Drosophila melanogaster: one gene and its partners. The main gene of each other region encodes a partner of the protein of the gene in region 2 in a complex. Each region holds a gene or a part of one and is shown on either strand. Other genes may lie near its edges. The genes, in order: ttm50, Tim17a1 and ttm2.

Evidence for each region.
Region 1: Tim17a1 (region 2) and ttm50 share a complex: the UniProt entries of both Drosophila melanogaster proteins name them as parts of the TIM23 complex.
Region 3: Tim17a1 (region 2) and ttm2 share a complex: the UniProt entries of both Drosophila melanogaster proteins name them as parts of the TIM23 complex.

What each region holds. Positions count from the first base shown.
Region 1 is NC_004354.4:2,730,554-2,734,305, reverse strand, and holds the start of ttm50 (tiny tim 50), read left to right. Parts: upstream 1-2,115; 5' UTR 2,116-2,257; coding exon 2,258-2,516; intron 2,517-2,588; coding exon 2,589-2,772; intron 2,773-2,828; coding exon 2,829-3,357; intron 3,358-3,416; coding exon 3,417-3,540; intron 3,541-3,599; coding exon 3,600-3,752. Other genes in the region: CG2712 (uncharacterized protein), read right to left, coding at 106-750, 821-1,075, 1,136-1,741. UniProt on the Drosophila melanogaster protein: Essential component of the TIM23 complex, a complex that mediates the translocation of transit peptide-containing proteins across the mitochondrial inner membrane.
Region 2 is NT_033777.3:12,363,115-12,366,780, forward strand, and holds Tim17a1 (Tim17a1), read right to left. Parts: upstream 1,567-3,666; 5' UTR 1,472-1,566; coding exon 803-1,471; 3' UTR 553-802; downstream 1-552. Other genes in the region: GstD10 (glutathione S transferase D10), read right to left, coding at 1,799-2,431; GstD9 (glutathione S transferase D9), read right to left, coding at 3,127-3,666. UniProt on the Drosophila melanogaster protein: Essential component of the TIM23 complex, a complex that mediates the translocation of transit peptide-containing proteins across the mitochondrial inner membrane.
Region 3 is NT_037436.4:273,584-277,319, reverse strand, and holds ttm2 (tiny tim 2), read right to left. Parts: upstream 2,166-3,736; 5' UTR 1,983-2,165; coding exon 753-1,982; 3' UTR 653-752; downstream 1-652. Other genes in the region: miple2 (midkine and pleiotrophin 2), read right to left, coding at 2,431-2,453, 2,513-2,725, 3,070-3,216, 3,290-3,736. UniProt on the Drosophila melanogaster protein: Essential component of the TIM23 complex, a complex that mediates the translocation of transit peptide-containing proteins across the mitochondrial inner membrane.

The DNA of each region.
Region 1 (3,752 bases), on a different chromosome or scaffold from region 2:
AAAACTTGTTATTGTGCGAAGGAAAGTACCGAAAATAAAAGCGAATTGAACTAAAACTAAATGTCCCGATTTGTACATTAAGCCGATAGTATAAGCGATCTAGCTTCAGGTCTCCACATTCTCGTCCTGCTCCTCCAGTTGGACACCCACTTCATGCTCGGCCCGCCTCCGCTGTCTGCCCGCCTTGTGCGACTGGCGATGGATGGCGAGTGAGATGCGGCGCTTGAAGGACTTGCCGCACTGCTCACAGCCGAACGGTCGCTCGCTGCTGTGGACGAGCATGTGGCGGTTGAGCTCGGATGTGCTGCCGAAGCTGCGCTTCTGGCACACCGGGCACGGGTGGGGCTTCTCCTGGCTGTGGCAGCGCTTGTGGGCAATCAGATTGCTCGAGTAGCGGAAGCGACGGCCGCAAATGTCGCAGCCGTGCGGCTTCTCGCCCGTGTGGGTGAGCATGTGCTTCTTGTAGCCCGACTTCTGTGTTAGCCTCTTGCCGCAGATGCTGCACTCGAATGGCTTGATTCCGCTGTGGATTAGAAGGTGTGTGCGCAGCGAGGACGCCTGCCGGTAGACCTTGAAGCAGGTGGGGCACCTGTTCGGATTGTTACGATCGTGCAGCGTGACATGGCCGTCGCGGGCGTTTCGCGTCTTAAAGGACTCTCCGCAGATTGTGCAAACGTAGGGCGTGGCCGTGCCATGTAGCTGCATATGGTACTTGAAGGAGTTGTTGGTGCTTAGTTGCTTGCCACAGATCTAAAGGAATGGAGGGAGAATTGATGACCTTCGGCTTTGAGTTATTTGCGAGCTGCGATGACCAACTTACTTTACACTGTAGGGAGGGATTGAGGGGTTTCCAAGGCCGGCTTCCACTGGGCAAAGTTTTCTGCGTCGCCGAAGTCTGTGCTGATTTCTCCACAATCTCGTAGACATCTTCGCCAGCTTTGGCCTGCAAAACGGGCTCCACTTGGAGGCACTCTTCAATGCAGTGGTCGTTGTCTTCTTGGCGAATTTTTGGCTGGCCATGTAGCCTCATGTGGTACTGAAAGGTCCGCTTCCTAGCCAGTTGTTTGCCGCAAATCTGCCGAAGATGGGAAACTATTTCGTGATTACTTACTTCTAATTCGGAAAGGCAACTCACGGGACATTGCAGCGCTGGCTCGGATCTTTCTAACCTGCTCCTACGTTGCTCCGGATCCGGATCGTCGACAATCTCGCAGAGATCGTCTTCGTGCTGTTCCAGTGCAATATCCAGCCTCTCCTCCTGTACAATTGGCGCTTCCAGCCGGCTCTCCGCCTCATCTGATTCTACGACCAGGAGTTGCTCCTCATCTCGTATCGTTTCTGCTGGATATTCAGTCACTTCCTGGTCATCGAGCACGAGTACAAAATCCTCCGGAATCTCGGTTGACAGCCTGGCCCTAGTATTCACCGCGCTGATCTTTTTGCTGCGGCAAAAGTCCGCATGACTCTGCCGCAGAATTCTGTCCATGCGATGGACACTCCGCTTGAATTCCAGCGAGAGCCGCAACTTGGCCACGCAGTCCGGGCAGATGTGGTGGGGCAGGAAGAGCTCCGCCTCTAGGATCTCCAGACCGCTGCAGTAGCTTAAAATGCTGGCCAGCGTCGCTGGTTTGCCGGAAATTGGATCGTCGAGCGGTTTGAAGAGCGGCAGGCAGCGCGGCGATGCTGTGTGGCACACGCGGCACAAGGCGTCCATGGGGGACGGCGGCGACATGGTCGTCATGGATTGAACTCGACAGTAGATAATACACGTTTAAATAAATAACTTAATTTAGCGTCCCGAACAGTGATGCCAAAGTCCAGCTGATGCGTTAGTGGTGGCACTCAAAATAGCTAGCCAGGCACATCAGCTTGGAAGTGACCAGAGGCACAGTGGCTTGGTGGTTGGTCAAAGGTTGTGTATTTCCATATTATTTAAAATATTTTAATTTAAAATTTTCTTAATACTGTGATTAGTCAGATTGCCGGAGGCAACATATGTACACACGCAGTTATCTGCAAAATCCCGCCAGATTTGGCTTGAAAATCGCCGATCTATACCTGCTGAGAGCCACGTGCTAAATGTACTAACGCCTGGTGCCGCCTGGCAGTGGACAGTATATAAAATCCCTAACGCCAACGCCGTGCCGGTGGGAAGTTGAAATTTTTGTTGGAATTTTTTATAAGTAAAAAGTCGCTGCCATCCGAGCAGGACTCGTGAACGGCTCTAGGACTCGATATCGGGAAGGAAGGGGGAAGCATGAGCATGAGCATGGCACCGGCCACCGTCCTCCAGTTGCTGCGCGGCCTTAGCACGCCGCGTCTTCTTACCCACATCCACCAGCACCGCGCATTGGGTAATCACTACCACCACTACCACCAACACTACCAGCACCAGCACCACCTCCTCCACCACCAGCAGCAGTACCTCCGACTATTCACTTGCACAGCACTGCCAGCGGCTGCTCCGGCGCTCTTCTCGATCCTGCACACAGCGCGTGGCTACAGCAGCACAACCAGTAAGTGATTCACGGTAGAGTCCTAAACAGTAGAGTCCTAAACATTCATCCTTGGCCACTTTCGTTTCGCAGAGCAGGAAGCTGGAGCCACTGGCCCCAATGATGCGCCCGAGGTCGCACCGAATGCCCCGCTGCTGGCCAAGCTCTTTCCTCAGACCTCGCCGGAGGTGGACAGCAACGCCGAGCAGGAGCGCAAGAAGCGCGAGGAGGAGGAGGAAAAGGAGAACGAGCGTGCCTGGAAGCGCATGAAGCTGGGGTAAGCTGACGCCCATTCAATGCGTAACAGTATTATAACAATACTTCCTGCTGCAGCTTTGCAATATTCGGAGGCAGCGCCGTGGCTGCTGGATTCTGGGCCGTCTACGAGTTCGGCAAGCCCGAGGTGGACCCCAACGGGCAGCCCATCGAGGACGAGTTCACACACAAGCCGCTGGTACAGCAGTATCTGCAGCGGATGTGGAAGAGCATTCACTACTATCAGCGCATGATCCAGGAGCCGTCGCGCGCCAAACTGCTGCCCGATCCGCTCAAGCCGCCGTACGTGCAGCCGCGCTACACGCTTGTGCTGGAGATGAAGGACGTGCTGGTGCATCCGGACTGGACTTACCAAACTGGCTGGCGCTTCAAGAAGCGTCCCGGCGTCGACCACTTTCTGGCCGAGTGCGCCAAGGACTTTGAAATTGTCGTCTTCACCGCCGAACAGGGCATGACCGTGTTCCCCATCCTGGATGCCCTCGATCCCAACGGCTACATTATGTACCGCCTGGTCAGGGATGCCACGCACTTTGTGGACGGCCATCATGTGAAGAACCTGGACAACCTTAATCGCGACCTCAAGAAGGCAAGTCATGCACAACGTATTTTCTATTGCAATCATCTATAAAGAAGGGAGTATTTTAGGTGATTGTTGTGGACTGGGATGCGAATGCCACCAAGATGCATCCGGACAACACATTCGGCTTGGCCCGCTGGCATGGCAACGACGATGATGGCCAACTGCTGGACCTTATCGCTTTCCTAAAGAGTAAGTTGCGCCACAAGTGACATTGAAAGCTAAACACTGACCCTTGCAATTCGCTACAGTAATTGCGCAGAACAACGTGGACGACGTGCGCGAGGTGCTCCACTACTATCGCCAGTTCGACGATCCCATCAACCAGTTCCGGGAGAACCAGCGCAAGCTGGCCGAACAAATGCTGGAGGCGGAACGCATCGAGCAGTCCAAGACCAAGCCAA
Region 2 (3,666 bases):
TACTTACTTATGAACCCTATCCTGGTAACCACCTTCCAATTCTCTGCGCTCTGTTCTGTCTCATCAACTAGTTTAATTCTTAATTTTGTATTAATTTATGATTTTCTTTAATTATAATAAAAGATTCGAAACGATTTTGATAAGTGGACAACGGCATTATTTATTTTTTTGTTAATTTGATATAGCATTGAACGTTTAAATTGATTTATTTAAGGATATTATGATAGAATCATAAATACCTCTTTTCCAGGGTAGAGGTTAGATATTAATAAATGCTTTTTATTAAATCTACAGATCCTAAGAACCCTCTTTCAAATTGTATGATATTGTTCAGCGCTGCAGATATGAATATAAATCTGTTCCGAGTTTTGTTTTCCATACGATGAAATAATTGTACAAATTTGAATTATAAAAACCAAAAAAAAGTTCTGTTTCAAGCTGAGCCATTTGAAGTATAACACAAGAGAAAATGCTACAGTCGAGTTTCCCGACTACCAGATATCCGTTACTCAAGTAGTGGGATTTTTCTGGGATATCTATAGATTGGGAAATACATACATACATTGTTTTATTCAACCTTTAAAAAAATAAAGCCACAAAATAAAGTGTTTCGAACTTGAAATTCTGACGCCAAGAAGTATGCTATGATTTTGATAGTAGATAAGCTTTAGTATCTTATGCGTTTTGTATATTACGATCATGAAATGAACGGTGAAAACTAGTACATGCACACAATTTTGATGAGTGATTGTTGAGAACGAAAGATTGAATGAAAATGAAAACCCTTTTTTTTTGGGCAACACTAGAACATCTGGGACAGTTTCACCAGATCCAAGAGGGAATAAAATGGCTTCTGTTTGGAATCTCGCTCGTGACTCTTAACCGGAATGTCCTGAAGTAAATTTGGTTCCCTGCTCGCCCGACATTTGTCCAGCACCCGTTCAAACTCCGCCAGTGCGAAATCTTGAGTGGATGACGCTCTCTTCGGATCAATAGTCTCCAGTATGGCCTCCCACTGGGCCCGCTGCGGCTTGATGACTATCCCTGCACCTTTGTCGGCTGCATTAATGGTGGCCACTGCTGCACCGGCTCCTTCAATCATGGCCAGCACCAGACAGCCCACCAGAGCACTGTTGGCCATGGCCCGAATGCCATTACGGGCTGCCAATATCCCACCAGTGGCCGCTCCACTGAGTATCGAGTTCCAGGCATCCTCCCTCTGGCGATAGTGGACCAGGGCGCAATCCACTGTGCTGAAAGTGGCACCCCAAACGGCAAAGCTGCCGGCAATGGACGGCGTTCTCATCTTCACCAAATCAATGCCACCATAAAGTCTGCGCTGCAATCCGGTAGGAGCGTTACGGAAACCCTTGAGGAACTCGAACAGCGAACCACCGATGGTGCCCATCATGAAGGCACATCCGCAATCCTCCACAATCCTAATGGGACACGGCTGGCGATTGTACTCCATGGCCTTGACTTACTATATCAAAACCTTTGGGTATACTAATATTCTTCAAGTGGCTTCAAATCAAAAACTTGTGTTTTGGAAATAGACTTTTGAGTAAACATAATACGAAGTGTTTGGGATGCTGACGTTTGCGTCCTTTCTAGATGTTTACAATTTTATGATATTAAATTTGTATTTCAAAAAACGGATTAAACTTTAAAAGTGAATTTTTTTTATTTAACTATTGAAATGTCTATCGAAATCCAGCCCAGTCTTAATCTTTAAATATATAGTTTTTTCTTGATAACCGAATAATAGGTGTTTTATCAGTATTTCGGGTTCATATATTCAGTTATCGAAGTATTTGCGGAACTCCTGGCAACCAGCCCAGTTTTCCTCCCAACCGGGAGTCAGTTTCTTGGCATTCTCGTACCAACGTGCCACATTGGCATACCGCTTGAAATCGAAGCCAGCCACATCGAAAGTGGAAACGGTGGCCAGAAAGGCAATATCCGCCAAGCTATAATCCCCTCCAGCGCTGTAGGTCTGCCCCTCCAGGAATGTGTTTAGGAATTCGAAGGCCACTTCGATCTTCTTGTAGTTCTCCTCATTGGCGGGCTTCTTTAGGAAAATCTGCGGATAATAGTACTCGGAGAAGCTCTTATACAGCGTACCCATGTCGAAGTACAGGCGCTGATTGATCAACGCCTGCTTTTGCACATCCTTGGGGAAGAGCTTGTCGTCCTTGCCGTACTTCTCCACCAGATAAACCATAATCGCCCGCGACTCCCACAAAGCAAATCCATGGTCGTGCAGCGTGGGGATCGTGTGCTGCGGATTGATTTTCAGGTATTCCGGCGTGAATTGCTCCCTAGCTCGGGTGTTGATAATGGTCTTCTTATCGAACTCCACACCCAGTGCCTTGGCTGTCATCAGAACAGAGCGGCAGGGAGCAGATCCGGGTCTATAGTATAAATCCATCTTACGCTATCTCACTTTCTGAAGGGATCTCTGGAAACTGAATAAAAAAAAAAACGAACAGCTAATCACTTTCTCATTTCGTTCGCTGAACCTGGTTACGCAATCTCTATAATAAATTCATCAAAAACAACAAAAGTATACATACCTACGTGGTAATCAAATATACTCGGCTGCTCTGCTGGAGTCAAAACGCGACAAACGACTGAAAAATTCTCTGCGGTTTAGTCGTGTTTTATAAGAAATAGAAGATAACCACAAAAAATACTCGTAGAATGTTTCGGGGCTGATGGATCAATTAGGTATAGGTGATAATAGTCAGCAATTTTTGGGCTAGCACTGGACACAAGAGAAACTTCTGGAAGAGCAGAGTGCAGCTGTATTACCAATTTCATTTCGTTTAGCTTCCCGTTGAACTAAACTTTACGTAAATCATGAATTAGTACAGGTGTTTGTCCAAAATTACCATTTGAATTTAATTGTTTTGGCTATCGCTAAAATCACGGCAGGTGGCATTTCAGCAAACCGACACGTAGCAATATCTTATCGCTATCAGAATGTTTGGAGCAGAGGATCCTCTGCCTTATCGCTGTACAAAAGCCAACAACTCTTCGTTTATTATACTCATTGTCATTTCACAATGTCTCACTCTTTATTCAAACAGGTCGATACAGATTAGATTATTTATTACAGACCCGTCATTGTTTGTTCAAAATCGCACCCAGATACAATTTCTTGTAGTACTCGCAGCCCTCCCAGTTCTCCTCCCAGCCGGGTATCACTTTCTTGGCATTGTCGTACCACCTAACCACTTCCGGATATTTACCAAAATCATATTCCGATATTTCAAAAGTGGAAACGGTGGCCAGAAGCGCAAAATCGGCCAGAGTCAACTTGTTGAGGGCGGCGTACTGCTGACCCTTCAACAGAGTATTGAACATAGCGAAAGCATCATCGATCTTCTTGAGGTTATCGGGATCAGCTGGCTTCTTCACATCCTCGAACAACTGGGGATAGTAGTAGTACACGTAGCTCTGGTACAGAGTACTCAGATCGAAAAACAGGCGCTGATTGATCACGGCTCTCTGCTGGGGATCCTTGGGATAAAGGGAGCCATCTTTATCGTACTTCTCGGCCAGATAAATCAGTATAGCCCTCGACTCCCAGATGGCGAAACCATCGTCAACCAGCGTGGGAATCGTATGCTGAGGATTGATCTTTACAAATTCCGGCTTAAG
Region 3 (3,736 bases), on a different chromosome or scaffold from region 2:
CAAGGATGCTGAGCCAAAGAGATTGCAGGATGCCGATGTGGGAGAGTACCAGACAAAGTGCCAAATGAACCAACGCCTGCGCCCTGGCTCGCCAGTTTGACGTCCGCAGTATACTTCCACCACCGAATTGTTGTGTGTTTTCAACATAAGGAGAAGAGGCCCAGCCAGCCACGAACCCTCAGCCAGAATCAAAATCTGCATCGAAAGTAACTAGACGGAAGGCTTACAGTACACCTGATCCCTTTACTTACTTATGCCAACATTCGGATGAATGTTCGCAGGGACGATACTGCGCATGACTCACCTAGTGGTGTGAAGTGCGTAGTTGTTGATTGTGGAAACATTCCCTCAAGAGTACACATGTGTCGTAGTTATTTTGGCACGTGCTCACGCACACCATCACATGGCAGCAACATGTTGCTGAGCTTGCGTGCTCGTGCTGGACTGAGGATTTCTGGAAGCCTGCATTCATATAAAACCGTAACACAACATTTTTCACAACATTACGGCTATGTATCCGCCTAGTGGCTGCACTGTTACCTTCAAGGAAGCATTGACGTTCCGCAGGGCAGTCTGCTTTAAATGCCAAATCAGAAATCATATGTTTTCAGACTTTTTCAATCAGAATACGCAAAAAACTGCAAAAGTAACTGCTGTTAGTAGGTAGACATTGAAGAATGCTAGGAAAGTTTTAATGTAATTTTTTGGGTGAATTAACAGTATTTAAGGGACACATCAAACGCACAATCTTTTTAATGATTTATGAAGCCACGGGTCCAGTTCTTGACAACGGGCCTAGACTTGCTAGTTTTTTCTACCTCCTCGGCGTGCATTAGCTCACCCAGCTTTCGCTGGTTTTCTCTGAACTGGGATAACGAGTCACTAAACTGATTGTAGTATTGCAGCACTTCTCGGACATCGTCGATCTCACTCGTTCCTAGAACACTAAGAAACGACGTGAGTTCAAAGAGGGTAGTGTCATTGTCGTTTCCAGACCACCGCGGGATCGAGAATGAATTCGAAGGGTGAAACTTGGTGGAATTTCTATCCCAGTCCACGACAACCACTCGCTTTAGGTCTCGGTTGAGGTTGTCAAGGTTCTTCACGTGGTGCCCTCCATCAAAGTGCGTAGAGTCGCGAACCAGGCGATACATAATACAGCCGTTCGGATCAAGCGCGTCGACCAGCGGGAACACAGTAACTCCTTGCTCCGCCGTGTAAACAACAATCTCAAAATACTTGGCACATTCTTTCAAAAACACGTCAACGCCAGGGCGCTTCTTGAAGCGCCATCCTGTTTCGTAGGTCCAATCGGGATGTACCAGCACATCCTTAATCTCAAGTACCAAAGTATACGGCGGCTGCACGTAGGGGGGCTGAAGGGGATCAGGAAGCAGCTTTTTTCTCGACGGCTCTTTGAAAAACCGTTGAAAGCGGTTCACCGACTTCCATGTCCGCCACATAAGCTGCTGCATCTGTGGCAGACAACTAAATTCGTCGATTACTTCATTTCCGTGCTCATCCAAGGACGGCCTTCCATAGAAATATATAGCCCAAAACGAGAACAACATGCTACCTATGCCGAAAAGCCCAAAGCCCAGTTTCATCCGCCTAAATGCCCGCTCCAATTCCTTCTGCTCCTCCTCCTCCTCAAGTTTCCGCCGCTCACGACTTTCCTCGTCGTTGGACTCCTCAGAGGTTTGTGGAAAGAGCTTCGTTAAAATTTGCGTAGACGTCTTCTCGTACGTCGAGTAGCGTCGGTGGCCAACGTATACGACGGATGCATTGCTGAGGTTCACACGGAGTCCAAAGCACGAACAGCGCCCAAGCTCCATTCCGGGTTTTCCAACATCTCCGCCTTTACGGGGCTGCTTGACCAGTGCCCGCCGCAAGCCGGAGGTCAGCGACCGCGACGTTACAATAAGTTTGCGGCAAATCTTGGGCCAGCCACATAACACCCTTTCAATGGCTATTAAAGACATTGGTAACTTGAAGATTTGCCTCGAAAGATCGATCAATTTAAAGGGGGCTTGCAGTTAAGTAAAGAAACACTATTAAATTTAACATCTTTATATTACCAAGCCGAGTTAGAGGTAACGTTTTCTTTTGTGTAATGTTAATTAAATTTTGTCGCAGACGGTTATTTTACTGTCGCGTCTAATATTAAATAAAAACTCAGAGCCAACTAACAGTTCTATCAATGCTCTTTGATTACTCAATAACAGGTCTCATTTTGTGCAGGTTTTCGCGGTATTGGGGTTTGTGAAAGCCTTGTTTCAAGAATTTCTAAAAGAGTGCTTTCATTTAGCCCTAAGAAGGCCAATTCTTTATTGTTGTTCAAGTAGTCCGTACGGGCTAGCATTTAAAAATCGCTTATTTAATATTAAAAATGTTGCTTCCGTATACGTATAAAATAAATAATTTTCATTATCAAGACGAAATGTGACTGGCTCCTGTAAACAGAGAATTTGGATCAAACTTTTCACAAAGGGGTCAAATTCACCACTTTTACCCTTATCCTTTTGCTTTTGCTCTTTTGTTCGACGACTCTGGCCGTGTTGTTTTCCTCCACTGGAATTGCCATTTGCTTTACACTTCTTGCTGACGGTACGCACAGGATTGCAGTTTTGATCACTACCGCCAGTTGCCTCTGGTTCCAACTTATCCTCTCTGGTTATTTGTCCTCCGACGCATTGAGACCATTCACCCTTTTCATAGCGGCAGCCTACCGAAGGAAGTACGCAAAATTTCAAATTAATTTTGGAAAGTATTTGCTATTATGAAGGATGCACTCGCTGCATTGTTAGGAACAGGAACTGCAGTATTTCCTAGGAAACGAAACGAAGCTGTGGCGGGGAGAACCTCGAAGTGGGTCGAAGAGAGCACAATCCTCCCCAGAAGGAAGCATTCTTGTATATGGGTCAACAAGAGTGATTTTTGCATTTTGTGACCTTTGGACCCATTAAGCCGGCAATGACACCGCCTTGCTCTTTTATGGGAATGCCCGATTCTACTACGTTCCCCTTTTGGGGAGGCGCTGTGTAGGATTATGATACATATAGAAGTTACCGCGCGCACCTTTCTTGCACTTCTTTTGTATGGTCCGCGTGGGCAAGCAGTTTTGCTCTCCTTTCCTTAGGGACAGGACTCGTGAACGCATGTTGGTCTTGTGATCACAATTGGACCAAGCGCTCTTTGCGTATCGGCAAGTCGATCCTGTTAACAAGCAAATATAAGACTTTGCATTTAAAAACTATTTGAATTCTGACGTGGCAGTCCTAAGGCTTACCATTCTCTGGAGTCGCTGCCTTAGGCCCTTTCCTATTTCCTCCATGATGTTGGCTATGTCCTCGCTGCTGCTTGGATCCCCCTCCTCGTTGTTGCTTATCAGTGTTCTTGTGGCCTTGCTTGTGATTTGGTTGTGGTAGTTGTGATGACAGTGCCCCGCCATTTTCCGCAACCACTAGTTTTCTAGATCCCGACTTGTGGGCCCCAACCTGCTGAGAGTGCTCTTGAGGCTTGTTCGGCTTACGATTGTTCCTGGTGCGGTGGGTGTCACTATTTGTTGTGGATGCGACTGTTTCGGCCTCCAGTGTGCCCCGAGCTGGACGAATGTGTACCACATCGCCCGACCTCTTTTCCATGACCAGACGTATGCCATCAGAAAGGCTTTCGCCACGAGTTGATAGCGGATTGTGCGCCAATACCACCAAAACTAGGTGCAGAGCCGTGGTTA